Oreochromis niloticus: one gene and its partner. The protein of the gene in region 1 purifies or fractionates together with the protein of each later gene. This does not show direct contact. Links are inferred from orthologs where the notes say so. Each region holds a gene or a part of one and is shown in the gene's direction. Other genes may lie near its edges. The genes, in order: limk2 and ttc1.

Region 1 (16,835 bases):
GAGGTTTCCCCTAAGTTCCCCACACCGAAATCCATTGTAGCTTAGTGATGAAGGTAAAGAGGGTTTTATTAAATCAAGATGATTCGCGCTTTAATTTGGCACAACAAATAAGTTGACTAGATTTGGTAGAGTGATGTAAAGAGAAGAGAAAAATGAACTTCTAGAGGGTCTGAACCAAAGATGTCTGAGGATAAAAGGGGATGATATGCGCTACCAAGACAGCAACGACATCCTATACAACCCAGCCCGGTGTCATATCAAGGCAAAGCCCACTCCTTCTTGTGTAAGCCTGCCTTTTCACCCTTTTGCCGGTGTTCCGGCTACTGTCAAACAAGCGTGGGTGTTTTGGATTGGCCCGTTCCCTTTATTTCCAAAATAAAATCAGAAGACTTTATTTATCCCCGAGGGACAATTAACAAACCCCTCAATTAACAAACTTTCCTTCTGTCCGAATCGCACCCTTTTCATAATTGACAGACACATAAAAAGAACCATTAACTAAGTCTTCTGGCTGGTTTCAGCACAAAATAAATATGAATGTGATTCAAAATATCCCACATCAAATGAGGAGAAGATTTTAAACAGGGGGAAAAGAACAAGCTGTGACCCACGTGGAGTACACTAGCCCAGACAGTGGTAGATCGTCTTGCATCCCTCTTTTATCTTGAAAGGAACCCGTTAACTCCATTCCTGCTCCCGCTCCGCTTTACTGGCCTGATGCGAGTTTGAATCATATGAATAGATCACTGGCTTTGTTCGTTGTAATATTTACCATGTAGACCAGTTTCCTTCACTGGCATAGCGGAAAACTCATAAAGAGGGATTACTCTAGCCACTGCAAGGAACCATCAATCAAGGAAAAGAAAAACAAACAAACAAATAAATAAATCTATTATTGTTGCTGTTTTTGTTTTTGTTGTAAATAAATATAAAATACATCTTTATTGTATAACTTGAATCAGACTCCATGCGCGACAATATGAAAAGACCCTAAATTGACATACTACCTATAGGCAAAAGTTGAATACTCCCCGTTACTTACTCCTTTTCACAAGAAAAAAATAGAACTGAGTGAAACTGATTTACTCTCGCCTTGATCAACCAAATTAAGACAAGGCTTCATAAAATACAGCGATACAACTATATTATTTTTAAACTGAGGTGTGAAGTTATGTGTTTGCTTACTTAAAAAAAAAACAACTTCGTCTATACAGTTGTTCTACACACTAACTCTAACTGTGATATTAATCCTTAATTGTCAGGTCATGATGATTTGGTCTTATTTGGATGTCAATAGAAAATTGTATGTTTTAGTCAGTATAAGCTTTTAATGATATAAGTTTGCTTGCGATAGAATGCTGCATGATGATCATTTCCTTGCTTAGAACTGGTTGTTCTTTTCATTGTTCAGGACTGATTGTTCTTTATAAAACATGTTCTGATATTTGTATCTGAGTCTTCTCACAGCGATAGGAAGAAGTCAAACAAGCAGTTCTGACCTCCCACACACACACACACACATACGCACACACACACACACATACGCACACACACACACACATACGCACATGCTCACGTCAAATGTATTCATTTTTCTTATGTATAAATAAAGACACGTGCAAGAACAGAGCGCGCATCACAGGGCCCCCACTCTGGTGTGAGCGTTCTGTGATCGCCCTTGTATACAAGTAAATGCTGCAGCGTCTGTGTGTGTTTCTCCTCTTAGACTCTTAGCTGAAGAAGTGTCTTTAGAATAAATCTCTTGACATTTAAAAGTTGAATCTGTTGAACAGATTCAACTTTTGGAGATTTACTTTCCTGGATGATTGAGAATGCATCAAGACACTCTTGACATTTATTTTGGTCCTTCGAAGCCGGGGCAGAAACATCAGAACTGTTATCTGTGACTCTGTTCCAGGATCCAGCACTGATTCCTGACGCTGTGGGAAGCCAGCACCGAAGTCTGTGCACAGCCCTCTTAGACGAAGCCGAAAGACCTGGGATGCTAAAATTCGGGCAGGCCGGTGTTTTCAGTCTGGTCCACGGCGGTGGGATTCAGTCTGGCGATCCGAACCACCAGTGAGACGTCTGAGGGTGAGAGAAACACTGTTTTGGTTAGGATTCGCCAAAATGAACCGAATTAGACTTAGGTTTTAGAAGTAGCCGTAATTACTTCATAACAAATTGTAAAGGCGCGCAAATGTCTATGTGTGTATGTGTCTAGAAGTAAGTTGATTTTACAGCACAATACGCTGCTGAACTACTTCTATTTTATTTTGTTGTTTGCTTGAGGCTCACGTACTGGTGACAGATGAGAACGGTTGAGCTTCGTCTCATAAAACGGATACCGCTTGACCTTTAGGGTCAAGTCGAAGGCCGTATCAGTAAACCACTCTGAAGTCAAGCGTGTCAGTGAAGGCCCAGCAAAATCTTTAAAAATGGGGAATAAACAAGCAAAATTAACACCTGATGAGGGTTGGTTAGAAAAACAACAAACCGGAGCAGGAATAATCCAAAAGAAAGGGAGAGGAATGGAGAGGACGACAGGCAAAAAAGAGTAAAAGCATTAACAAACAAAGAAGACAGTGACTCAGAACAGGATAGCAGCTCAGGTGAAGAGAATAGTTCAGATCAGGAAGAACATAATAATCCCTCACCAAGTGAAAAATTCAAGATCAAAGTAGAAGTTTAAAAAGGGCTGGAAACAGACCCGACTGAATACATATAGATACAAGAGGAATAAAGTAAAATAAACAAAAGGCTAAATTGATTTAGAACTTAACTGTAATGTATTCAAGTTGATGATAGCAAGGATAACAACCTGTAAACTGGTATTAACAATGACACATAGTTGGGATGCCCTGAATGAACAGAATGATTCACACAAACACATATTAAATAAATTAGAGAAATGCATAAGGTATATTAAGGTTTTGTCATTGTTCAGCCAAGGAAAGTGTGTGAAAAGGTAAATGTCTCCAGCTTGGGAAAGGGTGAAACTGCAGATCATCACCCTTGGTGGATACAAATAAAATATAAATAAATATTGTAATATACTATTGCTGTTATATAAAGAGATAATAGCGTTAATAATGAAATAATATTAAGATGAAGAGGCACCTCAGTCAGTTATGATGTGAGGTGGATAATTGCTAAAAGTAGTCTGCATCAAGCTTAAGGTTTGCTCAACTTCAGTACAATGACATATGAGATGAAGAAAATAATTAGTTTAGATATTTTCTTTAAGTGCATAGAAGCACTTGACCTGCTTGGTTTTAAGCCATGGCTCATCAGGAGGGGTGATCCAAGGAATGGTCCTTATTAGAAACGGACAATTTTGACAAACAGAGAAGTTTTTTTGAACAATAAACTGCCGCAAGACTGTTCTTCACCTATTTCTTGCAGGTTGAAGCCAGGTGATTGGATCCTTGTCCGAGTACTCCAAAGAAAAAATTGGAGCTCGCCACGGTGGGAGGGTCCATACCAAGTGCCTGCAAAATAGCGGAGAGACCCTCCTGGATACATCAGAGCCACTGCAAAAAAGTTGAGGTCCCCGAGGATTCCACTTCTTCCACAGAAATCAACTAGTAAAGGAAAGTCTCACTCGCGCTTGGTTGCTTCGGGGGTGAGGGGGGGCAGTGCTGATTGGGCCCCCGTAGGGTAAGCCCGCACTCCAATCTCCATCCGATCAACTTTAGGGCAGCCAGGTGCAGGTGTGTACAACCATGGGAAGGTGGACCCTCTTGGTTACCTTGACTACGACGCTCACCCTTACAGGACCCCAGCTGACGCCAACAACAGCTGAACCACGAGGCAGACAGAAAAGATGGACGCACGACAACTCGCACCTAAGAGACATGACGCAAGACCACATCCACCCTTGGATGAACAATGCCTGATACCGTTATATCCACGACAGGACCAAGGCGGAATCGGCAAATACAGACTGTTATGTCTGTTCTCATATGCCCAGCACATCAACACACCCCACACTATATGGTGAATATATGAACAACACTCAAGCAAAGTGTGCAGCCAGCTTCGCTGGCATTGGATTCCAACACAGTTGAATCATCACCAACGACACAATCCCACATGCTGTTGGACTTAGTAATGGAACATGTGATCAACTCTTCTGGATCAATTTCAACGTGACAAACCGGAATACATCCATCCACTTCCCAGTGTTTCTGGACCAACTCCCAGGGAAGAACCACTCCATGTGTTATCAACAAGAGAAAGGTAACACACCCGTTGGAAACACGACAAACTGCGTCCAAACTGCAGTCCACGGAGAGGGCGCCCCTGTGAATATGAGTGGACCTTCTAACGGCACGTACTGGGTGCAAGGAATGGCCTAGCTATGTGGACAACGGGCATATTTCATACTGCCCCCAGGCTGGACAGGAACATGTGCTCCTATATTCCTGTCAGACCACACTTTCAGGATGACCGCAGTAAACATCACTTCTACAGCACGCCGGAAAAGAAGATCTACGTTCCCTAAACTTCAACCACATGACCCGAAGCAACGTACCTGAGGAATTCAAACTGTGGACTACCGGACAGAAAGTACTCCACACATTGTTCCCTGGGTGGGAACCGGAAAAAAACATGCTGAGGATCGAAACTCTGGACTACCGCTTTGGACTCTTCTTGAACGCTTCATGCAAGATCAACGAACAGCAAGATCAGGAAATCAATGCATTACAGATCGCAGTGATGCAACATCAAGTAGCTTTGGACATGATACTGGCAGAGAAAGGGGGACTTTGCGTCCTCTTCAACAACACCTGCTGCACTTACATACCAGACAATGTACACTCATCAAACATGACTGACACCCCGAACGCCTTGAGACAGATCCAGCAGGCCCAAAATCAGGACGTGAGTAATACAAGTGACTGGTTTTCTTGGCTTTACACTGGCTCCTGGCTACAGGTGCTAAAAAGACTACTACTGCCTTTTCACTGTGCAATACTTTTTGTTAATAACCAACGGTGCAGTAGACTTCAATACTTGAAATACTTGCAATTCCCTTGTATTTGTATTTATTCTATTTCTACCTTTTGTATACTCTTATTTATATATATGTCTCTGTATTTATAGTATTCTGCTCACATTCTGTAGCTTCTGTCGGTGCTGTGCTATTTGGAAACCGAATTTTACAGTTAATAGGATTAATACAGTTTTATCTTATCTTATCTTACTCATCGGAGCTGGAGTATTTTTACTTTTATTTTGTGTTTTGTAACATGTATCCTGCCATGTCTAAAACTCATGATTAACCGCATAATCATTTCCACTGTAGCTGCATACATTGCCGTGACAAATGATGATGGTGATGACCCCGACCTGTTGGAATGTGAAGACTTTGTGTGATTAATGATGATGTGACAGAAAATGTACAACAAGATGTTACATACTGATATCTCACTTAAAGGTTATACTGACAACAGGAGGGAACGTCAATAGAAAATTGTATGTTTTAGTCAGTATAAGCTTTTAATGATATAAGTTTGCTTGTGATAGAATGCTGCATGATGATCATTTCCTTGCTTAGAACTGGTTGTTCTTTTCATTGTTCAGGACTGATTGTTCTTTATAAAACATGTTCTGATATTTGTATCTGAGTCTTCTCACAGCGATAGGAAGAAGTCAAACAAGCAGTTCTGACCTCCCACACACACACACATACGCGCACACACACACACACACACACACACATACGCACATGCTCACGTCAAATGTATTCATTTTTCTTATGTATAAATAAAGACACGTGCAAGAACAGAGCGCGCATCACAGGGCCCCCACTCTGGTGTGAGCGTTCTGTGATCGCCCTTGTATACAAGTAAATGCTGCAGCGTCTGTGTGTGTTTCTCCTCTTAGACTCTTAGCTGAAGAAGTGTCTTTAGAATAAATCTCTTGACATTGGAAAAAGTTCTGAGTGTTTTGGGGCAAAGATTTGTCTGTTGCTTTACACATTATTTGTGGAGTTCCGATCATCAGATCAACCAAATCTTTAAATGTGAAAGTATTTAAATAAATACAAAGTTGGTTTGAAGGTTCTCTTAAAGTGGTTTTATTTATGATCCTTACTGCTCTTTTTTGCAAGATCTATATTGGATGGGTGTGTGCAGAGTTTTATTGCTTAAAAGCAAGTTAGTAAACGTATGCCATAAGCTGGTTTGAACCGCACCCTTCTATACCTGAACCTGAAGACTAATTTAGCTGTCAAGTAGCAGCCAATCAGAATGCTCCCTGCTTGCACGAGGAGACTGTTGGTGGTTGTTGGGAAAAGGGAGTGGAAAGAGAGCACTGAAGGACTGTGGCATTCATTTATTCCTCAAAGATGACAGTGTGCTTTTGTATGTGTATGTGTGTGTGTGCATGTACGCAAACATGCACGTTGGTAACCAGTAAGCAAATCCAAGGCTTGCTTTTCATGTGCTTAACTGCTTATATTGTCTTTCTGACAACCTAGCTTTGTCCAACTTTGCAAAATGTCAGTTTTTCTTAGAATGGCCTCATCAGATGGTTTCATTCCTGTTTATTACCTTGTAAATTTTGACATTAGAGGAAGTTCATATGATTTGCACAGTTTAGGCATTGCATTGCTTTGCTTTTTCGTTGCATTGTTTTGATGGACAGCAGGCAAGAACTACAGGGTAGCACCACACATTATATAGAGGCCTCCTTGTTGCGTTTGGGTTATTTGTTGATTTTAAAGTTGCAGTGTAAAAAATGTCATCACTAGATTTCAGTAGATTGCAGACTGCAGTCAGCTGAGTTCTGTTTTCTTAACCCTCACAGTTCAAATACATAATTTTTGATGGCTATCTGTGCTGAATGTAAGCTGTCAGTCCCCTGTTTACCTCGGCTGTTAGTAGACTGCAAAGCTTTGTGAAAGGAGTAAATAAATAAGAAGAAATCAATTAGGAAAAAATAATAATGTTCATACATTTTCATGGGTCAGAGCCCTGACTTCAGTGCAGGAGATGAGGCTTGAGGTGTGGAAGAAGAGGTTAACATTTTATCTGGTCATGTTTTCTCTTTCCTTCACGTTTTCACTTTTCTGGTGAAGAGCAGCCCAAGATATGAAGGCAAGGTCTTTCATATCTTGCGTCTGAAAAGCAGGCATGAATTAAAACTTGCGTCTGCATTATGTTTAAGTTCACTGGCAAAAAGAGAAGTTCGTGTCTAAATATGTTACATTGCGTGTTTACACAGCAGATTTAAACCTAGTTTATTATGTCATTTATTTCTTGTTACAGAACCGACAGACACAGAAGGAAGACCTGAAGTGTAGCTTGCGCCTATTTTTCGATACAAGAACATCTGCTTTTTAATTACCGCCCCCTGCTGGCCACTTTTTAATAAACCAACGGAAATATACTTCAGTCCATAGCAACAAACCTAGTTCACAAGCTGGCAATTAGTCCCTCTGAATAAAAACTAACGCAGCGACTTATACAAGTCAGGGAGGTAGAAGGTAGAACTGCGGTAACCCCCCAAACAGAAGTGGCTTAATATTAGTGTTGTGTCAGGATGTGTATGGGAGCTTCATTGTAAGGTCAATCATGACTATTACAGTGTAACAACAAATACTGCCAAATATAATCTTTCCCTTGTTTAAATAACAATGAATGGGCTTTCACGCAACTGCATTCTAAAATCAAGAGCCAAAGACTTAATAATAAGCTTATCGTGAGTATCGTCCTGTCTACTGTAAACTCTCGACTCTCGGTTTATTCTACCTTATCTCAGTTTTTCTCCATTACTTTAATGCACTGTTAACAATAGCCCCATTATCATTAATATGCCACACAAATATTGAACCATGTCCCACGCTGCAAAACAGGAAATTAATGTTTCAGCCACAGTCGGTGAAACTGAGGAACTCATGACGCATTCATGTTCCTGCCTGTATATTGGCCCTTTTACGTAAACTGAAGATTGAAGACACAGTTCTACAGTTTTCCCAGCGTTGTGGGGCTTTATTTCGACATGTTAAAATAACATAAGAAAATAAAGAAACAAGCACAAAAAATCAGTGTGACTGTACTGTACTGTAGTGCAGTGCTATTTCTGAAGACTACTTAAAAATAACAAGAAAGCTTGACTGAGAGAGTCCAGGCTGTGTTGAAGAATAAATGTGGACATCAAGCTTGTTGAACTGCGCAAACCGTTTTTTGCTTATATTTCCATATATATTTGCACGTGTTTCAATAAATCACTACACCTATTCCCCATTTTCCAAGCATGACATAATGAAATGAGGGGTGGCATGAGATTGCACAGCACTGTGCTAATACTGACGGATGTGACAGTGAATAAGCCACAATTTTTTTTCAATAAACAAAGCTGTATACATTTTTAAAATCTCAGTACATACCAGCATTTGTGTTGAATGTTTTGAAACTAAACCTCATATGTGATTTAAAGGGAAACTAACTCTTTAAATTCAATCGCCTAAAGGTCAACCATGAGCCATGAATCATGTTATTGTAAAAACCGCTTAAACGCACCGTCTTCTGAATTTGGAGGTGTAAATTAAAAAAGAAATATTATTCTGCATGGAGCAGAGAAAAGCAAAGAAACAACACGTGCACTCTGTGATTAAATCTTCTCATTAGGTGTAATACCCTTTCAGTAAATAACATTCATTGCTATTCTGCCTGCGTTGAAATGGGTTTAAAGAGATGATGCCTACTGATTTCAGATGCAGTGAAATTATTGTTTTGCCCAGCCCAGTATTATCAGTGAGCCTTGGCTATATAACAGAAATAAAACAATTTAGAAGCACTTTAAATGCTGATTTGTTCCTTGTTCATTCAAATAGCAAAAGTGCAAAAGACAAATTGTAAAGCAAACAATACCTGATTGATATAGCAGTCATTTATCTTTTATAGAATTTTAAAAAAAAATTAAATGAAATTTTAAAACAGAGATTTTGATCCTTTGATACAACTGTAGAACTTCAGGAAAGACACTTATTGTGTCTTATTGTACTGTACTTACTATATTGCTTTAAGAATGCAATAAGATCTGATGATTATATTATCCTTAATATATTATGACGTCAACACTTTGAAAGCATCCCATCGTTTTTATGTCACGACAGTAACATACAATAACGTTTCATTTCTATCCACTAAAGCCTAGCAACCACATAGTGAATCGTTGTGTAGTGCGGTGATATTGGCAGTAGATGGCGCCACTGTTTTTCCTTTCGCGTTTGGGGCCAAATCTCAGTTTTCTCCTTCTTCCAGGTGCGGAGGTTGGGCCTTTCCGCTCTCCGTACAGGAATGTGAGCACTGCATTACGTCAGTCATCCTGCCAGCGGCGAGAGAGCAGCTCCGTCCAGGAGGTCTCAGCTCAGTTTTCTTTCTCTCTCTGTGGAGGATTAAAAGGCGTTTGTGTTTTCTTCCTGCTGTATTTAGAGAGGTGGGAATCTCGGACGGGGAGGAACGAAAACGTGAAGCGGCTCATGACAGCTCTCCTCTTCAGTATGAGGAGTTAGTGAAAAAACAAAAAAGGGACTTGAATATCGACGACACTCTCGCGGAGTAGATGGAGGAACCAGGAGGTAAAGTGGTATTTCACACTGTACCTTTACACTGAAGTGATGCTACATCGCTGGGGTGTAAAAGAGCATCATCTCTCTGTCTGAAGCGCTCAGCTCACGCAATGTTTTTACCTATTAAAACGGAGCTTTTTGGAGACCGAGCGCAGCGGCGCGTCTGTTTGCTCGCTCAAATTCAGATCCCAGTTAAACCAGTATTGCAATTTTCACATGAGGTTTCTGCGCTACACCTATTTACAGGGGAGGCTCGTTTCTTTCTTTGCAGATAAGTGTTACTGTGTGGGCTGTAGAGGAAAAATTCAAGACTCGTTTGAAATGAAAGTCCTCCAGGACACCTGGCACAACGCCTGCTTCAAGTAAGTGGCTGCAGATCGTGATTTTAAGTACCCTCATTACTGTAATGAGCACAGTTTTGTCACTCATACTCCGATGACTGGAGACTTTGTTTGTGTATAAGGAGGAGGTGTTAGCTCGCGCTGACACAGACAGTTGTTTGTGTGATTGATTTTGTGTGTGTGTTTGTAGTTTACTCTGTTTGGATGTACTTACAAATGGACCTGTGGATAATCCCAGAAGTTTCTGTTCTGTCTCCTAAACACAGACTCTTGTCTGTTTTCAGCTGTTCACCATTGTTTTTGTGCACAAAATGCACTCTGTAGGATGTGATTCCTGCCCCCAGTCCCAGCTGACAGATCTCCTCCCCAGGAGAACTTTGCCCCTTCTGCTCTTAAGCTTAATGATTGCCACCGTGGAGATGATACCAGCTCTCTGGCTCGTACAGGTCACTGACCATATTTTTGTGTGCAGCAGTAAACCTGCAGTTTGATGCCAACACACTGCACATGCCAATATTATATAACACCCAGAGGGTTTTTCCCCATGGAGATCAGTTGAAGGTTTTTTTTTTTTTTTTTTTCCCATGTTAAATAAGATAACTCAGGCTGTTTAACAGAAATGGCATGTGGTACTTCAGCTTACTGCAGGGTCACAGTTGCATTTGCTGGGTTGTATTTTCCTAACATTTTAAAACTGATCACCAAAAGCTGACTGCCTGAATCTGTGAAATATTGATTATTAGAGATTTTTTTTCTCACTCTCTCTCTCTATCTCTGACTAAGAAGGCACACCTAACACACACAAGTACACCCAAAAATGTGTTTGGTGTTTGGGAGTGGATCAGGGTTCCTCTGGCACTAAAATTAGAAAACACATTTAATATTTTCTAGGTTAAATGAATCTTACAGCTGGAAAAAAAAAAAAGAGACTCTTAAGCCAGTATGTGGCAGTGTCCTTGGACAACCTTTGATTTCACTCTTTTAAAACACACTTCTCAATAACACAAAGCCTATTTATCTCAGCAGCAAGGTTCCTGACGCAGCTGCATTACTCACCCTTGATCCTCTCACTCCCTTTGTTCTTTTATACCTTTTCACATTTTTGGAATTCCTGGTTATTTCTTTGTGTAATAACTTCCTTTCTTTAAAGTTTCTGCATATATGAAATGTTTTGCATGGGTGTTTTGTTTTTTTGGGGTTTTTTTCCTAAGCACCATTGTAAGCTGACGCCATCGTCGCTAAAATTGTTTGCAAGACATAACTCGTTAAGCAACCAAAAATAAAAATGTCCTTGCAGATGTGATACCCTGTGGTGTTCCCATTCTCTATTGTCAACATGCTGCCCCTCTGCCCTCCGTATACCTCCACCTCGTGTAACATTCTTGTGAGGCGGCGTCACTCTTGTTCCAGTAAACCTGGCAGTGTTATTCAGGCCTATAGGTAATGGCACGTTCAGCTCTGCAGCATTCTGCATTCCTAGACAGCGAATCAGAGATGTGAGCTCTGTCTCAAACACTACAGAAGCCTTTGTGTTGTTGGGGTTTTTTGGGGGTTTTTTTTTTTTTTTTAGACAAAACTATTTCCTATCTTCTTCACGGCTTTCCACCTGCATAACTGCAGATCTTATTGCATTTTTCTGTGGTTAAAAATAGAGTCTTTCCCATGCTGGGGAGAGTTGTGTAACCAAAAATAGAATCCGGAGCTAGATTTGAACAACACTACTATTTTTCTTTTATGTCTTCATTTACATTTTGGTGTTGCCTCTTACTTACATGTGCATTTTAGACTCAGTGAAATTAAATAATTGTTTTACTTTCAAGGAAAACAAACCAAAAAAAAAGCCTTTTTTTTTCTTTTTCTTTTTCTTTTTTTTTTTACACTTTTGGTGCTTATTTAACGTTTTTCATAATCTGAACATTTTAGGTTGATATTAAAGGCAGTAAGTCTTAAAGGCATATCTTGAAGTTGAGTGTTGCAAACAGCAAAATGGCCCAACATTTAGGATCAGTCATGGTCTGATAACTGGATTGGTGCCTTTCCAAAGTAGTTTTCATACCTACCAAAGATGTGGGAAGCAAAGGTCTACCTGTCTATCTGACCTTAATGCTGGCTATCATAGAGGGGTGCCAAAACACTGCTGCTTTTGTCCATGCTAACCTCCGTACACCTCTACAGACCACCGGGTGCACATACGCATTATTTAGAAGATGTGGATGAGTGGATGTTTGCGCCTCATTTAGCCTACCTGTGAAGACATTACATCAAGATGCGCTGTTGGAAGAAGCCCAGCCAGTGGAGGCTGTAGAGGAAAATGTGGAAAGTCTTATGTCCTTCTTGTGGAGTTTACTTAGGTAAAAGTAGCATACCGCTTCATTGCAAGTGTTTTTCCTGATGGCTGTGTCCTCTATTGGCATAATAAAAAGTTGAAGGTGTTGACTTGGCCTCCAAATTCTCCATATCGTGAGCCAGCCGAGCAGTTGTGGGGTGTGTCCAAGATAAACGGGTCTGCTGGAGGCCCAGTTTCACAACTTTGAGGACTTAAAGGATCTGTGGTGAACTTGTTGGTGCTGATGCTGTTGCACACAGTGAAATACGCCTTTGTCAGGCTTTCAAGGCCACATGTAAAAGATCATCTCAGTATCTATTTCTGTCATTACTGTAGCCACACTTTAACAAAGGACTCCAACGGCAATGCATATTAAGGAAACGAGTAATGTTTACTTTGTAGTGTTTGTGCAGCCAACATGACCACGTGAGTTAAGTGCACACGCCCGTTCAGCACCATATATACAAGGAAGTTAGGTGTTTTTATAAGCACACTTGTATCACTTAATGTAGATGGTAAAAGGAAAAAAATGTACAACACTTATATTTTATGAGGTTATTTTGTATATGAATGCTTTTTTGTTCAGAACAAGTTTTTTAATAGTTCTTTGTATGTTTGTTTGTTCTCCTCCACTTAGACACACAGTATGTTGTACATGCAGTATTTTTGAAGAATTGCACCTTTTTTTGTCTTATTCGTAAATATTGTATCTAGCTAAAGGGACAATGAGAGTGTTGATACCTCCAGCCGTTGTTGATGCTGTGCTGACATTACTTGTCTGTGCTACAGTTTAACAAATACTGAATATTTGAGGCTGACAGCAATGTCTCGGTTCTACAATAATCAAATGTGTATAGTGGCTTGTATGTATTATTATTATTTTTTTTTTTAACTTTGTCACTTTATTAGGTACATCTTACAGTAATAGGTTGGGCCTGCTTTTGCCTTCATAACTGCCTTAGGTCTTCATGGCATAGATTTATCAAGGTCCTGGAAAAACTCTTCAGAGATTATAATCCACACTGATGTGATAGCATCACACTGTTGCTGCAGATTTCTCAGCTGCACATCCATGATGTGAATCTCCCGTTCCACCACATCCCAAGGGTGGTCTATCAGAGTGAGATGTGGAGATTGTGGAGGCCATTTGAGTACAATGAACTCATTGTGATGTTTAAGAGACCAGTTTGAGATGATTTTAGCTTTGTGATATGGTGCGTTATTTCACTGGAAAAAGCTTTAATGTTAGTTTCCTTTTTTATTATTTTAGTGTTAGCTTAAGAATTTTTAATTATTATTGTGTGTGTTGTATATTGTGAGGAATATGTCAGGGGCAACCTTTAGGAAATTCTAAACAGTTACTAAAACAAACCTTTCTAAAGCTGAAGGCACCTGACTCCATCGGGCAACTAGCAATAAAAAATTTTAACAACGCAACAAATTCTAAAAGTTAGTTTTCCAAGTTCACAAAATCATTTCCGTACATTTTTTTTTTAATTTAAGTTAACTAAATTGTTTTTCACTTCTTGTATAAGTTTTTGGTTTTGTTTTAGTTAACTATCATAACCTCTCGTCAGACTCTACCATCAGAATGCTGCGGCAGAAACTGACTCATTAAGACCGGGCAAAATATTAAAAGTTGGCACCGTAATTGTATTGCAGCAGAAACGAGTCAATATAAAGCTGCATCTGTATTTTCTCCCACTCCTAATGATGTTTAATAACGTTATTAATCATTTAATGAAAATAGCAAATTTGTGTAATATTGCGTCACACCCAGACATCAGATGTTTGGCCTTTTAGTGCAGTTGTGACCACAGCAGCTTAGCAAGCATTACTCATGCAATCTTAACTTCAGGATAATTATTCTGCTCTGTTACTCCTCAGCTGACAGCACACTGTGATACATCAGGCTGTATCTTGTGTCCTTTTCTTTTATGTTGCTTTCATGTCAAAGGAAAAAGGTTTGTTTCCTGACATTTTTTAAAAGGACACAAATATGGATCTGTTTCATGTCACGTCCTCTCTGCCTCAGAGCCAGCTGTTCCCTTATTCTCCACTTTTCTCTCCGCAGCACAGACACAAACATGTGGTCTTTCCTCCAAAGGACAGCTCCTTCTTAAGTAATGCCAGAAAACTCTAAAATATCTGGAGTCTGTGCCAAAGTCAATAATCCTGGATGAACTATACCTACAGTGGAGAGAACAACGTGATACGCGGGTCTCAGCTGAAGTCTGGAGCCATCACCAAAAGAATAAAAATGCATACAATAAACATTTAAAATAATGTTTTTGTCTTCATCGAGAATCTGATGCTCTTCACCTAACTGGCAAAATAATCATGCTGGGAACCACTCTAAACTGACAGTAGTTGACTGTTGAATATTATAGCCGTTCCTCTACGCAGCCTGTATATTATCTCACACCTGCTGTTACTTTTGTGCATAAGTTCAAGAGAAATCAATGCAGTGAACATTTTCTGTCCTTTTCAAATGCAAATAGTTGACTGGGCTGCTGTCTCTTTTTCACTGTGACTCATTTGTCTACATGTCATCACCGAGACATCAGGATTCTTCTTTAGATGAATGTGTAACCGAGGTGGAAGGTGGAGGGGAAAAAACAAGCCTGAGGAATGATTTGCAAAGTCGGGCAAAACTGGCTCCAGAGGCTTCAGTAATCCGATCTCTCATAAAGTGGCTCATCCTGGCAGTTAAATCTTCTGCCATCATTTTTGCATAACCAGTGCAGCTTGTTCAAGGAGCGCTCAATGCCTGCAGGTGCTTCCCAATCTGCTGGTAACTTCAGCATTCTTCACTCTGAACATTTTGTCTCAGTCTCAGGCATTAACTCTCTGCCAAATATCAGTTTCGATTAGCAGCTAGTCATATAACAGGAGCACCAGTCGACACTATTTATAACAGTAGTGCTAGCTCTTACTACGACGCCTTCGTTAGACTGTTGAAGGAGGAGAAATACAATGAGAGACACTCAGAAATCCTAAACCCCAGGATGTGTTTCTGAGCTAATGTGGTTAACGGCGTGACTTGTTAGTATTTAAAGTGACCTGCCTAAGAAATTGAACTGTAATCAAAAGCTGTATTATAGCCCAACTGGATAATTTGAGGACTTTGGCTCTGTAGAGTCTTATCTTGAGGTGGTGATCCTGAATCCCATTAAGCACTGAATAAGGACTTGGCAGCCATAGAGGCATTGCGCAGTCTTCAAGTAAGAGAAGTTCTCCCAAATCTGACATCTGCTTCTTCAAAAGTGGAACATTTTTATTTAATTACTTTTGTGATCCCTGCCTCTCTAACAGTGCAAGCCCCGGGACATTTCAGCTACAAGGTATTCGCTCTGTTGTACACCTTATAGAACATAGTTTGGCACGTTAAGCGTTTGGAATATACCCTCTAGCTAATTTGATAAGTTTGACTGATGGCTTCTATAGGAGCTTTCTTTGATTGTTCAACACAGCTTACAGCGTTTAAGAAACAAGGATGAGATACATTTACAGAAAGGTTACCAAGTTTGGTAAGAAATATTTAAAGTTAAATTATAAGAGTTAATATTTCAGTAGAGTCATTAATAATTTTGGACAATTGGCAAAGCGATCAGAATTTTTGTTACAGCTTTTCTCGTGTGATGTTTTTACTCTTTTATTTTATTTACAGACAATTTTTGGAAGAAGGTTCCATATTGTTGATTCATTGATTAATCAAAAATTACACTATTTTTTTGGTACATCATACAAGTATAAATGGTATAAAACACGGATGTGGCACTGTGGTGTCACCATTCATTTTTGGACTCCACATTTTGAAACTAAGCTGTAGCCATTTTTGTTTTGTTTTTAAGCCAGCCGTTACCTTTATACAGGTGAAGGGTGGAGTGCGATTCAGCAAACTTGGTTAACAAGCTGCATTTATAAATTGTGTGGGTGCAACACAGACACGCCTATCAGCTTATTATTTCTAAGCAGTGGATTAATGTAATCTTACTCGCCAAGCTGGAGCACAAACTTCTAGAATGAGCCAGCGAGCACACAGCAAGCCATATCATTAGTCTGATAATCTGTTTAAAAAGCACCAATAGCACACACACAATGAAGAGGTTCTGTCTAATGACCACATGATTTCCTCAGGGATTAATAAAATATTCTGATTCTGATTTTGAAGTCACAGATAAGGCCTAGATGATGCTGATGACAGATAACTGAATTATATCCATGGATGAGTTCTAGAAAATTCAGCCCCTAATATGATTTTTCAAGCTGTGAAGTTTTTGACACCCTTTTTGGCTGCTTGAGGAATTGCAGCTTTTGCTACTTCTGCATTGGCTCAATGTTTCAGCTCCAGAGGTTGACCCTTGATTACAAAGGCTGAGTGAGGAGGGTCTGCCAAGTGCAACAGAGTTAATGGACGTTTCCTTGGTTACATATATGACACAGCATACACAAACAAAAGTCCAAAGTTTCAATTCTTTATGTTTCCTGAACTTTCAAAAACTCCTAGATTAACAAGCAAAAACTGATTTGATTTATCTATGTTTGCTTATTTTTGATTCATTTTTAGCTTGAAGGCATCTAA
Region 2 (16,934 bases), on another chromosome or scaffold:
TTATGATATTCAACAAATTATGATATTCATCAAATTATGGTAGTTCATAACTCATTAATTTTTTCCCAAAAAATAAATTATTTGACTATTAAAAATAACTATTTTTATCATCAATAGCATTCTTTAATTTTAAGCCATTAAAAAGCTTTTACTTTTTTTATGCTTAAAAATGCCATCTGGTGGTGGGTCATTGCGTGTGTGCGCGCGTGCGCCTGTGTCTGGGCCCGTGCTCCTGTGTGTGTGTGTGTGTGTGTGTGTGGAAATGTGTTAAACCAGAGTAAAAGTGCTTAGTTAAACTTGTGTTTTTGTAACGTTCAGCATGGCGAGACATACAGGTTGCATGCCTCATTGGAAAACTTTATTTCAATTTCCAAAAGTTGAATCTGTTCATCTGGACGTAGCGTTTTGTGTTTCTCCCACAAAACGCTACGAAACGTTTCGTCACTCATCCAAGTGACTTCTTCAGTCTCAGCTGACTGCAGGTTTCCCCAATCTTATAAACAGTACATTTGCATAATGACTGAAACCAGTCCACTGAAGGAACAATGGGCTGGGAGGTCAGTTCCTTAATCATAAGGAACTGACCTCATAATTTATTTCAATTTATATGCATTTGTTTAATCCGAACAAGGAGATTTAGAATCAAACTGCGATTCGCAAAAAACTCTCGTGACCCCCCCCCAAGCATAAGCGCACCGCGGCTCCCACCCAACCCTTAGGCAAACAAGCAGGAAACCTCCTGAAAAAAACCTCCGTATTGTTATCCAAATACACGCAACAAAAACCCCTAGAATAACTTGTTAGGGACCCCTCTATTCCCAAAACCTTATATTCAAAAACAGGGAATACTCCTGAAAAAAATACTTAGTCTTTTTTCTTCAAACCAGCCCTCTTACTAGCTCCGTCTCAAATTCAGCGCACAGCTTAAGTTCTCCGTCGCTCATACTCACACCGAACCGCAGCCAGTGCACAATTTTTTCCCCTTGTTACTCTCGATGTATCTGCTCCTTAATGATTCCGGCTCTTCGTTCGAAATTTGCGCCGGAGACCAACTCCACCTCTGAGGCGTGCCTAATTTCACCCCGCTGCCAAACATATAACAAGTGGGCAGCTCCCGTTGCACCCCGGTTAGCCAATCGGATACAGCTCCGATTTACCTTCTCAGCGATAGGTGCACTCTCTTGCTCTCGTTCAGGATAAACAATCTAACATTTTCAGCTTAAATTCTTGAAATATGGACAAATTTATTAAACCCCCCAAAATATGACTATCCAGAGTTGGGACCAGGAAGCAGAGTTGCAGTCTTACACGCCTCTCTGCAGCTTCTCTCCTCCTGCTACCCCCCCAAAAACCCATCTCCATAGAGACTGTGTCAGCTCCCAAACAGACAAAAAACAAACTAAAAACCAGCAATAAACAACTTAAACATAAAAAATCACAAAGAAAGAACAATACAGTATCCACATCTGAACCAAAGAGTAAAACAGTGAAATGTGGATTATTAAATATTAGGTCTCTCTCCTCCAAGTCTCTGTTAGTACATGACTTAATAATTGATCAGCAAATCGATTTACTCTGCCTTACAGAAACCTGGTTGCAGCAGGATGAGTATGTTAGTTTAAATGAATCAACACCCCCGAGTCATTCTAACTACCAGAAACCTCGAAGCACAGGCCGAGGGGGCGGTGTGGCAGCAATTTTTCACACCAGCCTATTAATCAACCAAAGACCAAGACAGACTTTTAATTCATTTGAAAGCCTGATGCTTAGCCTCGTCCACCCCAGCTGTAAAACTCAGAAACCAGTCTTACTTGTTATCATCTATCGTCCACCTGGGCCTTATACAGAGTTTCTCTCTGATTTCTCAGACTTTTTATCTGATTTAGTGCTCAGCTCAGATAAAATAATTATTGTGGGTGATTTTACCATCCATGTAGATGCTAAAAATGACAGCCTCAACATGGCATTTAATCTGTTATTAGACTCAATTGGCTTCTCTCAGAATGTAAAAGAACCCACCCACCACTTTAATCACACTCTAGATCTTGTTTTAACATATGGCATAGAAACTGAACATTTAACAGTGTTTCCTGAAAACCCTCTGCTGTCTGATCATTTCCTGATAACATTCACATTTACAATAATTGATTACACAGCAGTGGAGAGTAGACTTTATCACAGTAGATGTCTTTCTGAAAGTGCTGTAACTAAGTTTAAGAATATAATCCACCCACTGTTATCATCTTCAATGCCCTGTACCAACATAGAGCAGAGCAGCTATCTGAACGCTACTCCAACAGAGGTCGATTATCTTGTTAATAATTTTACCTCCTCACTACGTACGACTCTGGATACTGTAGCTCCTGTGAAAACTAAGGCCTCAAATAAGAAGTACCTGACTCCGTGGTATAATTCTCAAACACCTAGCCCAGGGGTCTGCAACCTTTAACACCCAAAGAGCCACTTGGACCCGGTTTCCACGCAAAAGAAAACACTGGGAGCCACAAATACTTTTTGAAATCTAAAATGAAGATAACACTGTATATATTGTTTTTTGTGCTTTGTGTGAACAACTAAAGTAAGTAAGTAAAGTTTATTTATTAAACACTTTTCACAGACAGGCAGTCACAATGCGCTGTACACAAATATTAAAATAAACAATACAATCAATAGACATTATACACAATGTAAAAGATCAAATGTAAATAATGTAAAGAATATAAAATACGTAGATCAACAAAAGGCTTGTTTGAACAGAAAAGTTTTTAACTGCTTTTTAAAAGAATCCACAGAGCAAAAAATCCATGAAGTGCTACGGAGAAAATTACATTTTATTTATGTAATTAACACATTTTGAACTCTTAAAGAAATATAACAAAAGGAAAGACACCCAGCTGAACTAAAATGATCCATGTAGCAAACAAAAACTGTTGTGAGCCGCCACCCTTTTAAAAAGTAATTGGAAAAAAAGCACTATGCCGCTAAAAAAAAATAGATATTTGCAAAATTCTGCCAGGACGCACCTGAGCGGCACCCGCAATCACGCCTCGCCGCCTTAATGTCTGCGCTATCTGTGCTGTTGTGTTGTTGGTGGTGTATGTCGGGCTGTGAGCTGCAAAGCTACAGCCGGCTGTATGCGTACAGCAACCGTGTGTGAAAAGTGGTCAATAAAGAGATACTGAAAAGCATGTTCATGCAAACATCGTCGGGTCTGCCGTGATTTGTTTACAATGAGACTTCTGGTCCTGAACCTCGGTGCACAGCGTCTGCAAATCGGGGCTTTCATCTTTACGCAGGACTGTAAGCTGTCATCTGTGAGGCGTGAGCGGTGTTTGTTTTTAACATAGTTCACGGTGGAGAACAGCTGCCGACATAATGTGGATCCGAAGATCCATAATTGGCCTACCTGGGGTTGAAAGTCTTGATAAATGCATGGCGTTTCGGCGGGTACACCGGCTTCCGCGAGTGTGACGCTTATTTTGAGCGATGAAAAAAATAATAAGATATCATTTTATTTTTATATTTCAAAGTCACAACAATCTTCCAATTTAGAACTACAAGTTTAAAAAAAAAGAACTAAACACAAATAAAATGCACTTCAGCGAATTACTTCTAATTTATTTTCCCAAACCACGTGGAGCCGCAGTACAAGGAGTAAAGAGCCGCATGCGGCTCCGGAGCCGCGGGTTGCCAACCCCTGACCTAGCCTAAAGCAGATAACTCGTAAGCTGGAGAGGAAATGGCGTGTCACAAATTTAGAAGATCATCATTTAGCCCAGAAAAATAGTTTGCTGCTTTATAAGAAAGCCCTCCGCGAAGCCAGAACATCTTACTATTCGTCACTGATTGAAGAAAATAAGAACAACCCCAGGTTTCTCTTCAGCACTGTAGCCAGGCTGACAAACAGTCAGAGCTCTATTGGGCCAACCATCCCTTTAACGTTAACTAGTAATGACTTCATGAACTTCTTCACAAAAAAAATTCTTTCGGAGCTCATCACAGCACAGAAACAGCTTTAGTGAAGGTTACAAATGATCTTCTTATGGCCTCTGACAGTGGACTCATCTCTGTGCTTGTCCTGCTAGACCTCAGTGCTGCGTTCGATACTGTTGACCATAATATCCTATTAGAGCGATTACAACATGCTGTAGGTATTACAGGTGCTGTACTGCAGTGGTTTGTATCATATCTATCTAATAGACTCCAATTTGTGCATGTAAATGGAGAGTCCTCTTCACATACTAAGGTCAATTATGGAGTTCCACAGGGTTCAGTGCTAGGACCAATTCTATTTACATTATACATGCTTCCCTTAGGCAGCATCATTAGAAGACATAGCATACATTTTCATTGCTATGCAGATGACACGCAGGTCTATCTGTCCATGAAGCCAGGTAACACACACCAATTAGTTAAACTGCAGGAATGTCTTAAAGACATAAAGACCTGGATGGCCGCTAACTTTCTGCTCCTTAATTCAGATAAACTGAGGTTATTGTACTTGGCCCTGAAAATCTTAGAAATATGGTATCTAACCAGATTCTTACTCTGGATGGCATTACTTAGGGCATTATTAATATCATATTTTTTATGAATATCATATTTTTATTACTTCCTTTATTACTTCCTGGGGTCATAAATCGTTTTATTGGGGCCATAAATCACTCAGTTTGACATAAGGGGCCTAATATCACTCTCTGCTGTAGCTTAGGGTGACCAACCGTACTCTTTTTCCCGGACATGTCCACTTTGCACGTTCTGTCCGGGGCGTCCGGGGGGATTTTCGAGATTGATAAAAATGTCCAGGTTTTCCTATAGTCCGACAGAGGACCCATGTGTGAGATGTCATCCCCGAACTGCTGTTTTGTGAGCGCTTGACGGACTCACAGCGTGCAGCAACGCGCCTAATGATGTTTAAAAGATCCCAAAGCGCAAGTGCATCTTTTCAGACAAACTGCAAAAGAAATTTCCCTCGTACAGACCATAGCTGGAGTGGCCACCGGTGGGCCGATGGCTTTTTCGTTTTTATGGCCTGATGGGTTTTTGGGTCTTTTTGTAACGGTATAAACAACGAAATGTGGTGGATTGGCCAGATGCTGACCGATGTGTAAAAATAACTCAGTTGCTTGGTGGCGGCTGTGGCGGAGCTTCCACAGAGGCCAGCAGGTGGATGAGGGAAAGGGGAGGCAGGAGGAGGAGAGACCCGAGGCAGCCACCGGTCCGAGTATCAGGTGAACTGAACTTCAGGTAAGAAGTTATGACCTGCAGTCTATCTGGGTCAGATTTAAACCAAGTTTAGGTGGAGTTTATTTTCGTTGTGCTGACTTTTTACAGTCAGTTACAATAACTCGTACTGCGTGCTAGCTAGCATGACGGAGTTTCTATACAGCTGGGTGGGTGCTGTGATGTTACTGATAGTGAACTTTATTTTATTCATAAGGTTAGTTAGTAAAGTTGCTAACCGTCCCCTAAAAAACGGAATCGTCCGATATTCAGAGAAAATATTATGCGTTTCATATTGAGCTGAAAAGGAACAAAGTTTGTCCCGGACTTCAGCTAGAATGGAAAAAAGAAACAAAGCTGGAGTTATTCTGTCGTTACGCTGCAGCTGTTTCTTCTCCTCTCATTCTCCCCCCTCCCTCTCCTGTTGCTACTTCAATCATGAAACTGATCAATGATCAGCTGATCGGCTTTTCTGAAGGAAATCCGCTCTCGCTTGCTTGATCGCCCACTTTGCGCCAGAAAGAGGAAACCAGCGGATGTCGCGCTAAACAACACCAGCACATTTAAAGTTGATCAGCTGTTGTTAGAATTTATTTAATATTAATTTCTAGTATCAGCTGATGTTTGCTGGAGCCACAGCTGTAAAGCTGCTGGTCATGATATCGGTTTGGATATGTGGTGAGAGGGAAACATGCAGATGAAACCAGGAGATGTCCTTACTGAATCATCAGAGCTGAACAGGTGATGGAGAAACAGGTTTACCTTTTAGGTGACACGAATGAGTTGAAGGGAAGTTATGAACTGTTTCTGAGAGCCAAATAACACCAGGATCCTTTTCTAAGTAGCTGTCAGCTGGTAACTGTGCAGGGGCGGGTCTAGCAAAGTTTTGCCAGGGGGCCAGGTAGGGCATTAACAGGGAAAGGGGGGCACAAAGAAATACTTTTCTTTCTTATTCTCATTTAAAATGTCTCGCTTTTAATGAATAATTATCTGAATCTTACACCCAAAGTTTTTATCTGATGTAAAATGTATAGAAATCATACATATACCAACAAGAGAGTGTACATCATTGTCACAACAGTGTTCGTTTTTATTCAAAGGATTTATGGCTATTCCTATAATACCTGGTGGGTCTCTAGTCAAAATGCCCGGGCCCATTTTATGTTTCTTTAAGCAAGTTCTTCTTGACTGAGCCAATCTATCTGAGATGTGGATCATGATTTCCCTTTCTGTTCACACTGTTTGTGCCTATGTTCTCAAATTCTACATTGCCTGTTTTTCTGTTTCCTTTTTTGTTTTGTTTCTTTCTTTTCTTTTTTCTTGTTTTTTATGTTTCATTACCTCTTGTTGTAATGCTCAACCGAATATATTTAGATGCATGAATAAGTAATGGTGTATGGAAGGGTAGATATTTTTATTTGTACAACATAATATCACGTTATTACAATATACATAATTATCATGTTATAACAAAAAACCTTTCACGTTCTTACAATATAAATATTATATTGTACAAACGTGATAATTATGTATATTGTAACAACATGATATTATGTTGTTTAAACATGAAAAGTATATTGTTAGAACAATAAAGTTTTCACATTATAATGTGATAAAGCTCTATTTTTCTTTTGCCTGGGTGGAAGCTCTACGCTTCCGTAATGGTGTCTTATATGTTACAATTGTTATGGAAACTCTTAAATAAAATTGCAACTACCAGGTGAGCGTGTCTTTTGAAGTGAGGTTTATTAAAGAAAAAGGAAAAGAAAAACACTACAGTGGAGAAAAACGTTCAGATCAAACACCAAACAGTTTTTCTGAGGATGGACACCGTCTCACAGTGTGTGTAGAGCATAAGGCCCACTTGTAGGGCACATGTATACAACTAAGTGACATGAGTGCTCTTGCTATGCTAATGTGATATGTGATAAATACAACAGACATGAAATCTGCTTCCACACACTGTTGTTGACAAATAAAGTTCATATAAAAAAAAAAAAGAAAAAAAAAAGAAACTACTCCTCCGGCAGGGAGCGGTACCATTGACTGTAGAAAACATGGACGACGCGACTCCGCCTCCTCCCATTGTGCAAAAATGAAGCCAAAATACCCAGCTTGTGGAGGCTGCCATCTTGCAAATTTGGAGCCAGAGTCTGCGCAGTAGTGACTTGAGGTGGAGCGACTGTGTAACGCTCCCGCCCACACACCCGTTGGACGTGACCGCAAACACGCCCCCCTACACTTTTTACGTAGCCCGGCTGCTCGAGTTTTTTTCCTGGTTTACCGCAGCTGATGACTCCTTTAATTAAGGTACAACCATGTCACTGTTATAAAAAAAGACACACAGCTTATCATCTAAACTTCTAAAATCACTCTGTTGTTAATTAGCCGTAAGATTAGCCGCTAGCATACGCACTGTGTTGGAGGCTTGTTGCTAGCTAGTTAGCGATGCGACACACCTAATGCTCTTAATAGTCTGTGTTATTGAAGGATTCAGCACTTCTTATGTTTGTTTTAATCCATTTTTAGACAGCAATGAGATCATCTGCACACTCTACAGAGGCCCAGAGTTACTGTTAATATCAAAAATATAATGCTGTCCTTTGAGATTTTAACATAAGACTGTGAGTGTAATGGATCTAAAACTGTTTAAATCTTCAGAGCCCTCTACAGCCTGGTAACATGGAGACTTTAAAAACATCAGCAGAACGTTTCAGTAGTGTAGTCTAATTTGTTCTTTTCATTTAATAATAGAGTCCATATTATATCAACAGCTACATTCACCCTGGAGAGAAACTAGTGAGGGAGACCATCAGGACCAAGCTGGGTTTCCTGGGTCCAGAGGTTTGGAGAAACTTCTTCTCTTTCTTCATCACAGCTGTCCTGTGCTAGAAGTTCTGTTGACCCACTGAGAGAGGCATCATTTAAGAAACACCAGGAAGACTGAAGCTCATCGCATTGATCAAGCAGGACTCATGATCTACGTAAAAAGTGTAGGGGGGCGTGTTTGCGGTCATGTCCAGCGGGTGTGTGGGCGGGAGCGTTACACAGTCGCTCCACCTCAAGTCACTACTGCGCAGACTCTGGCTCCAAATTTGCAAGATGGCAGCCTCCACAAGCGGGATATTTTGGCTTCATTTTTGCACAATGGGAGGAGGCGGAGTCGCGTCGTCCATGTTTTCTACAGTCAATGGTCCCAATTCAGGGTATACACGCTTGAAGTACGCATTTTAAGTGCGATTACGTCACCGCCACGCGACGACGGCTGTCCCAATTCAAAGTGCACTTCAAATGCATACTCCAAATGCGCCGTCGATTTCCCCAAATATCAAGCGTGGTCCGGTGCACGCTTCGTGGCCCCATATATCCCACAATCCATAGTGCGGCGGTGGGTGTGGATAATTTTGCCGCAAAATACGGCAGAAGGGAGCGGCCGAAGAGTGAACTATCAAAAGTAAGTACTGAATATGATGTCACTTATTTATGTGCGAATGTTTAAGAACATTAAAACATTACTGTTGGCCACATGTCGGGAAAGTTATGTGACATTAGTGATGTTTGTACTTTCAGCGGTAACTTGGTTTTAAAGCCTCTACTTCTAAATATATATATAGTCGACCTTAATCTTACAGAGAATGTGATGATTTTATGGATAGTTAAAGTCAGTCATATATCCACAAACACAACAAGCTGAAAGTCAGTGATGCTGCTCAGTTTGCAGTCCTGAATATGACGGCACAAGCAGGATTCACTGCACTGTTAATGTTAGCTATGTTATATTGCTGCCTCTGTTCGGTGGTGTGGAGCCAAACGGACTTTAACGTGTGTTTGAACGAGCTGACGGTTCACTCGTTAAGCTGAAAGAAAGATGCTTTAATCACAGGAGTCACACATGTGTCCACTGGACCATCTGGAACTCTTCTTGTTTAGCACTCGTAATAACACAAACACTAAATCCTCCTTCTCTTGTGCTGTTTTGTAGCAGTGTGTACACCTGAGACTGTCACCTGTCTGTCCTGCACTCTCTCTCTCTTTCTTTCTCTCTGATTGTGGAATAAAAGTATGAACATGTATTTATAAGTTACACTTGTGTTTGAATCCTGCAGCTTATCACACATTTGATTTCCATGTGTGACAACTGCAAGTGTCCAGAGTGAGGACAGACTGAGGGACCCACTGCTGCACATCATCTGTGAGGCTTTGCACCCCTGATGATCCACCGGGACAAACTCAGCAGTGTGTGAGGAAGAGGAGGAGGAAGAGCCAGCAGCAGCTGACAGATGGAGAGAATAGACAGACTGTTCCCTGTTTGTGAAGGACTGCTAGGAAAGTTTAAAATAACTAATTGTCTGTCCTGAATCAGTCTTATTAGGTAATGTTCAAATAATGCTATCATCCCAGTGTTTTCAGTGTGGGAGAAAGTACTCAGGGCCTTCAAGTTACACACTATGAAAGGCAGCAACAAGTTTAATATTCAGAAACCTAAAGTATGTATCAGCAGCAGAATGGAGCTAAAAATAAATGTTTGTTTCAGTTCTATGAAGCTTTGAGTATTTTGGATTAGTAGTACTGCTCTGTTTGTTGCATCATATTGCTGTAATTGTTTATATGCTTTATATATTCTGAGCTAAGTTGATCTATAGTGTTACATCATATTCTATAAGGATGTTATGTGTTTGTATACTTTCTGCCCAGTTTGACCCATTTAGCAGAAGTCAGCCTGTTTAAGGCTCTGATATCTATTCTGTATGACTTAAAGCAGTTATGACATGGTCTGATTTTCTCACCCAATAAAGGAATATTTCATATATCAGTCTGATCTTCATTCTATCAGACACAGTTATCACAGCTCGTACATTTTCTTTTTACACATATATATAAGCATTGAGCCAAATGTAACAATGCCAACATATTAAACGAACAATATTTGTCTCTTATATATAATACATCTGTATATACACTGTCAGAGATACTTGTCTTTGAGTGAAGATTTAAGGTGATATATATATATATATCATAATAATCTGACAATACTATGATATTGGCCATATTATATTTACATTACCACAGTGAGATGATTTTAGTCTCACGAACAACATTAGCTAATTGTTATTTACCAATCTTAAAATGACTGTTCAGTACAGAAATGAAGCCCAACTATCATGTTTTACAGTCCTGTGGTCTCAGCCTCAGATACTCAACTAATCAAAGTGATGTCATGACAAAAATGAATGACCAACAAAACATTTTTTCTCCTTCATTTCTGTCAAACAAAGCTGTATGTAACGTTTCTCGCGGTTAGTATCAAGCCAATGAGCGGTACCTACAGGACACTTTAAAATGGAAGCGGAAGCGTTCCTCGTCTAGGAAGTGACGTCAGGGAGCGTGGTCGCGCAGATTCACCGGTGTTTACAGGTGAGACCGAAAAGCAGCTGATTGTAACGTTTCTGTGGTTATCGATCTGCAACGGACCGTCACCTCGATGACGTCAGGCGGAACCGTGATGTTGGATGCGGCTGACACGTGCGTGTAGAGTCCCAGCTGACCGTTAGCTTAGCTGTTAGCATATAGCTTCGTAGTAAACAAACAGAAACCTGACCAGTGTTCAATACCCGCTGATCAGCAGGAAGTGACGCAGACGCGCTGATCCTGCGGTGGCTGATCAGCTGATCACCACAGAAGAAGAGTGAGGCTGAGTAGGAACTGAAGCTGTTAGCTCAGTCACAGCTAGCCGGCTAACACTGGCTCTGTGTGACGTCAAAGGTCAGGCCTCTAATCGGTTAGTTAAATTTTTATTTTATCTCAGAGTTTCGGAATGAGCGGAGGAGGCATACAGAGACACAGCAGGGCCGAGGAGGAAGAGGAGGAGGAGCACGAGGAGGACTTCTATGACTGTCCGGACACGCTGGAGCCTCCTGACCCCACTGCAGGAGGAGAGGAGAGCCAGCAGGATGTTAATTTTAAACACACACAGATTAAACGAGGAGACACAGAGAGGGAGGCAGCAGAAGGACACCAGGGAGAGGAGTGGGGAGACAGACTGAAGGAAGAGGAGGATGAGAAGGAGGTGAAAGCTCTGCTGGAGACAGAGGATGTGAAGCAGGGGGAGGAGGGGGTAGACGGGCTGAAGGAAGAGGAGGAGGTGAAGGAGCAACAAGATGGAGACTCCCTGCGTGACTCTGACTCAGAGCTGAAGGAGGAGGTGGGCCCAGCCGTAGAGTTTGATGATGATTACCTGAGGGAGGTGGAAAAGGAGCTGACCGAGGAGGAGATGGAGGTAACGCTTGCTGATGGGCACCTGCACTTAGAGGCATTTAGGTGTCGGCACACGGTGGTAAATCAGAGTTCTTCTTTTTCAGAGTCGACGGCAGCAGAGCATCAGTCTGAAGGAGGCGGGAAACGCCCACTTTAAGAGGGGAGGTGAGTCTGTGAGATCAGCACTGTGGAGCTCGTCCTGCATACTGCAAGGGGTCAGAGGTCACACTATCAGGGTTTCCCTTACATGGTCAAATGAGCTGCTTCTGACCAATTTAAAAAGGGCAGTATGGATCATGTGACTCATCTCACACAAACATGAACCGCCTAAACCACAGGTGAGAGTCTGTGTGACCTCTGACCCTGAACGACCTCTGACTCCAACCAACAGAATCTGGTGATCTGTGGCGGGAAAATAAATTTTGATTGCAGTGAATGATTTTGTGTCTGAGCGTGCTCAGTGCTGCCGCCTGCGTGTGAGACTTTATCCATGGAACCTGTATCCATGGAAACATGAAAGTTTCCTCTCCCACGGCCTGATGAAGGAGACGTGAAATCAGATCAGGGTGAATGAATGTGATTGGATGAACACATGTTCAGGTATATGCTCTGTGTTTGCAGCTGACTGACAGAGACTTAATCACATGATCACATTCAGTCTGAGCTGCTGGAACAATCAATATTATTTATTACTGTTGCTCATGAGGAAACTGAGCTGTCTTCAGAAATGGTGATATCATACATGTTGATCTGTAACTGTGGTGATCTGGCGGTACAGATGCCAGGTGGGCTCTGGGCTCAGGTGTGTAACGTTTGCTTGTTGTCTCCACAGACTGGGCGGAGGCGGGGCGAAGCTACACGGATGCGCTGTCTGTGTGCCCCGTCTGTTTCAGCAGGGAGCGAGCCGTGCTGTTCTCCAATAGAGCCGCCGCGAGGCTGCACCTGGTAACATGCTAAAAACATGCTAGCTCTATGCCGGTATCGTTGCTAACATGAAGGATGTAGCGCTCTTGGTGTGACGGAAGTCTGGTTCTATGAGTACCTGCTTCACCTCTAACACAGCTTTGTGTTGGTTAGTCCCTTTGTGGCTCCGCACACAGATACACCTCATCCAATCAGGAGGAAGCGTCCTCACGCTGTAAACATCGCTCCTTTCCCTCTGAAACTTGGGTAAATGGTAAATGGACTGATTCTTACATAGCGCTTTTCTACTCTCCCGGAGTACTCAAAGCGCTCTATACAACATGCCTCATTCACACGCACTCATACAAATGGTAAATGGCCTGTATTTATATAGCGCCTTTATGGTCCCTAAGGACCCCAAAGCGCTTTACATACCCAGTCATCCACCCATTCACACACTGGTGATGGCAAGCTACGTTGTAGCCACAGCCACCCTGGGGCGCACTGACAGAGGCGAGGCTGCCGGACACTGGCGCCACCGGGCCCTCTGACCACCACCAGTAGGCAACGGGTGAAGTGTCTTGCCCAAGGACACAACGACCGAGACTGTCCGAGCCGGGGCTCGAACCGGTAACCTTCCGATTACAAGGCGAACTCCAAACTCTTGAGCCACGATCACTTCTAAACACAAGTGCAACTAATAAACATTCACACACATTCACACTCCGATGAACGCATCGGAGGGCAATTTGGGGTTAATATCTTGCCCAAGGATATTTGGCATGCAGACTGGGGAAGCCAGGAATCGAACCACCGACCTTCCAATCAGTAGCTGATCTGCTCTACCGCCTGAGCCACAGCCGCCCCCCTAACGTTTCTACTTTCTGTGTCACTTCCTGTGTGATGCCCTGTGCGTGGGTAAGCTGACACAGCCCCAAATTAGGCCGCTGGACATTTAATGTTGTGACTGCAGTTTGCTCGAGTCACCAGGTTCAGCAGGTGGGCATTTCCTCCTGATTGGCCAATGAGAGCAAAGGTTTGAAGCATGTGCAAAACACTGCATGTTAGCAATGATCAGTTATCAGTAATGCCATTAGCTGGGTGCTAACAGGTTAGCGGCGTACTAACAGTGTGTGTCTCTGTCAGGATCTGAAGGAGCAGGCGATCTCAGACTGCAGCAGAGGTGAGTGATGACATCACACCCCTCCTGGGTAGCACCGGCTGTGTAATGATTATTCATTGTACTGACTGATTGGCTTTGTGGTTCCCATAGCAATAGCGCTGGATCCTGACTACCTGCGGGCGCTGCTGAGGAGGGCGGAGCTTTACGAGCAGACAGAGAAGCTGGACGAGGCTCTGGAGGACTACCAGAAGGTGCTGGAGCGAGACCCAAACAATGTTGCTGCCAGGCAGGCGGCCATGGTGAGTTCACTGACTGTGGGACAAGGCAGAACCAGGCAAGCTCTGTCTAATGTTATAATCTAAAATGTGAGCTAAAAGCCAAAGAAGCTGGAATTCTCCATTTCATTTAATAATAATAATAATAATAATAATGATGATAATAATAATAACTTTATTTATAAAGCACCTTCAAGCAAAGTGCTGTACAACTGTTTGAAAAAAAGGTTTAAAAGTAATACATAGCACTACAGATAGGAGACACAGTACAAGTTAAGAACAGAGAAAAAAGAGAAATTAAGAACAAAATAAAAAGAAGAAAACATTTAAAACCTCAAAGCCATAGAGTTAAGACATGTAGGATAAGGTAAACAAGTGTGTCTTCAGCTTAGCTTTAAAAACCTCGACAGAGCATGCCTGCCTAATATCTTGAGGGAGGTTATTCCATAAAACCGGGGCACGAAAAGAAAAAGCACGCTCTCCAATTTTCTTTTTCCTGGCTTTAGGAACTTTTAAAAGACCAGAGTCCTGAGATCGGAGAGCACGGGATGGAATATACCGGTGTAAAAGGTCAGAGAGATACGAAGGTGCTAATCCATTTAAAGCCTTGTAAGTGAGCAACAGGACTTTAAAATCAGCTCGAACCGGACAAGGTAGCCAATGAAGAGAGTATAAAACAGGGCTAATATATTCGAATTTTCCAGTTCATGTTAAAATACGAGCAGCTGCGTTTTGCACCATCTGTAGACCTTTAAAACTTTTCTTTGGTAGCCCTGAGAAAAGAGCATTACAGTAATCAATGCGTGAGGACACAAATGCATGAACAAGAATCTCTGCAGTATCGTTTGACAAAACGTGTCTAATTCTAGCTATGTTCCTCAAGTGATAAAAGGCGGTTTTTGTTATTTCTTTTATATGAGACTCAAAAGAGAGCACCGTGTCAAACCACACGCCCAAATTTTTTACTTTGTCTCTACAAGTTATGACCCTATCATCAATTCTCAGGGTAAAATTTTGGGACGAGTGCTGAAATTTAGGCGGTCCAATGACCATCAACTCTGTTTTATCAGTATTTAAGCACAGGAAATTATCCGATAACCAGCCCTTAATTGCTGATAGACAAGATTCCAATTTAGAGATTTCAGTACAGTTTCCAATTATTAGAGGAACATAGAGCTGCAGGTCGTCAGCATAACAATGAAAGGTTACTTTAAAAGAACGTAAAAGAGCACCAAGAGGCGACAGATACATAGAGAACAGCAGTGGTCCAAGCACAGAGCCCTGAGGGACCCCATGCCTCACCACACAGGTCTCAGAAAGAACATTATTAAAATTAACAGTCTGAGACCTCCCAGACAGGTAAGATCTCAGCCATGATAAAACATTCCCTGTAATTCCAATAAAATGTTCAAGCCTATCCAATAAAATGCCGTGATCAACAGTGTCAAATGCGGCACTTAGGTCCAGTAGTAATAAGACTGAAGTGCGATCATTGTCTGCATGTACCAGCAGGTCATTCACCACTTTTAGTAAAGCTGTCTCTGTGGAGTGATTTGGTCTAAAAGCAGACTGAAATGGTTCAAACAGATTGCTTGTTGACAAATGCTCAGTGAGCTGCTTAAAAACCACTTTTTCAAAGACTTTAGACAAGAAAGACAGATGTGAGATGGGTCTATAGTTTGCAACCATGTCAACATCTAGTCCAGGCTTTTTCAAGATCGGCACTACCACAGCTGATTTATAACATTCAGGGAAGACTCCAGTCATCAATGAAATATTTAAAAGAAACAGAATGTAGGGTCCTAATGCTGACCACAGTTCTTTTATAGCCCAGGCTGGTAAAGGATCCAATGAACAGGTTGTACTACGAGCTGCTTTTACAACCTTGGTTAATTCAGACAGAGAAATGACCTTAAAATCAGAGAACAGTTTATCAGCAGCAACAGGCAAGACATCTGAGTAGTCTGACAAACTACCTGAGGAAGGAATAATCTGATTCCTAAGTGTGTCCGCCCTATCACTGAAAAACACAAGAAAATCATGAGCCATCAAGTTAGAACAGCAGAGAGTTGACTTGCTCTCTGTAAGTTGTGATACTGTGTTAAATAATAGTTTTGAATTATGTTTATGACTCATGATAAGATTTGAGAAGTAATTTGCTTTCGCTGTCGACATCGCTGATTGGAAAGAAGTCAGGGAGTCCTTCCAAGCCCGAAGAAATACTTCTAATCTGGAAGATCTCCAGTGACGCTCTGCCTTTCTACAATTTCTCCTTAGATTCAAGAGCTCCTCGTTTAGCCAAGGCATAGGGTTCTTTTTTTGACATTTTAGCTTCTTCACGGGAGCGACAGAATCCAGTAGCTCAAGAAGTGTATTATTTAAGTTCACAGTCAAAGAGTCCACACATAACCCCTGGGTAAAAATGGGGTCCAACACCTCAGGTAGATGTAGTTTAACTCCAAGCAATGCCTCAGGGCTAATAAAACGAGATGATCTGAGGGGCAGTTTTCCCCTCTCAAAAGCTGGAGATTTAGGGATTAGAATATCAAATAAAATTGCTGAGTGGTCTAAAATAGGTAGAAGACAGTTTTCAGTCATCGATATATTCAGTCCATAACCTAAGACAAGATCTAGGGTGTGGCCCATACGTGTTGGCCCAGACATCAGTTGTGTAAAATTCAAGGAGTCAATTATATTTAAGAAATCTTTGACCAGGGGTTTATCCTCACAGCACAAATGGATATTAAAGTCCCCCACTATAAGAATCCTTTCATAGTGAACAATAAAACATGTCAAGAAGTCTGAGAATTCCGAGATAAACAAATCATTATATTTAGGTGGACGATAGATGACTATAATTAGAACCACAGGACAGTTTAAGATCAGGAGTTGGGACTCAAATGAGGTAAAAACACCAGGACTTTGTATCTGTTTGCATTTAAAACAGCTTTTGATGATAGAGGCTACCCCGCCTCCCCTCCCAGACAGCCTGGGGGAGCTGAAAAAGCTGGCATCAGTGGGGCACAGATCCAACAAGGGTGCCACTTCCCCAACGCGCAGCCATGTCTCGGTTAGGAGCATGATATCCAATTTATACGTATCGAAAAAGTCTCGAAGAACATGAGTTTTATTTGATACCGATCTTGTGTTTAAGA

Evidence for each region.
Region 2: the proteins of limk2 (region 1) and ttc1 purify together in Homo sapiens (affinity purification with mass spectrometry; 3 studies listed by BioGRID and IntAct, counting the BioPlex papers as one, with this or other methods). This does not show direct contact. The link is inferred for Oreochromis niloticus from reciprocal best matches to the Homo sapiens genes LIMK2 and TTC1.

Annotation. Positions count from the first base shown.
Region 1 is NC_031977.2:18,448,756-18,465,590, forward strand, and holds the start of limk2 (LIM domain kinase 2), read left to right. Parts: upstream 1-9,279; 5' UTR 9,280-9,576; coding exon 9,577-9,592; intron 9,593-9,854; coding exon 9,855-9,945; intron 9,946-16,835. Other genes in the region: si:ch211-225b11.1 (sodium- and chloride-dependent GABA transporter ine), read right to left, coding at 1-35. UniProt on the Homo sapiens protein: Serine/threonine-protein kinase that plays an essential role in the regulation of actin filament dynamics. Acts downstream of several Rho family GTPase signal transduction pathways.
Region 2 is NC_031975.2:33,689,789-33,706,722, reverse strand, and holds the start of ttc1 (tetratricopeptide repeat protein 1), read left to right. Parts: upstream 1-10,512; 5' UTR 10,513-10,638; exon of another isoform or gene 10,639-11,029; 5' UTR 11,030-11,038; coding exon 11,039-11,500; intron 11,501-11,582; coding exon 11,583-11,643; intron 11,644-12,310; coding exon 12,311-12,423; intron 12,424-13,527; coding exon 13,528-13,564; intron 13,565-13,654; coding exon 13,655-13,803; intron 13,804-14,285; coding exon of another isoform or gene 14,286-14,396; exon of another isoform or gene 14,397-14,811; intron 14,812-16,934.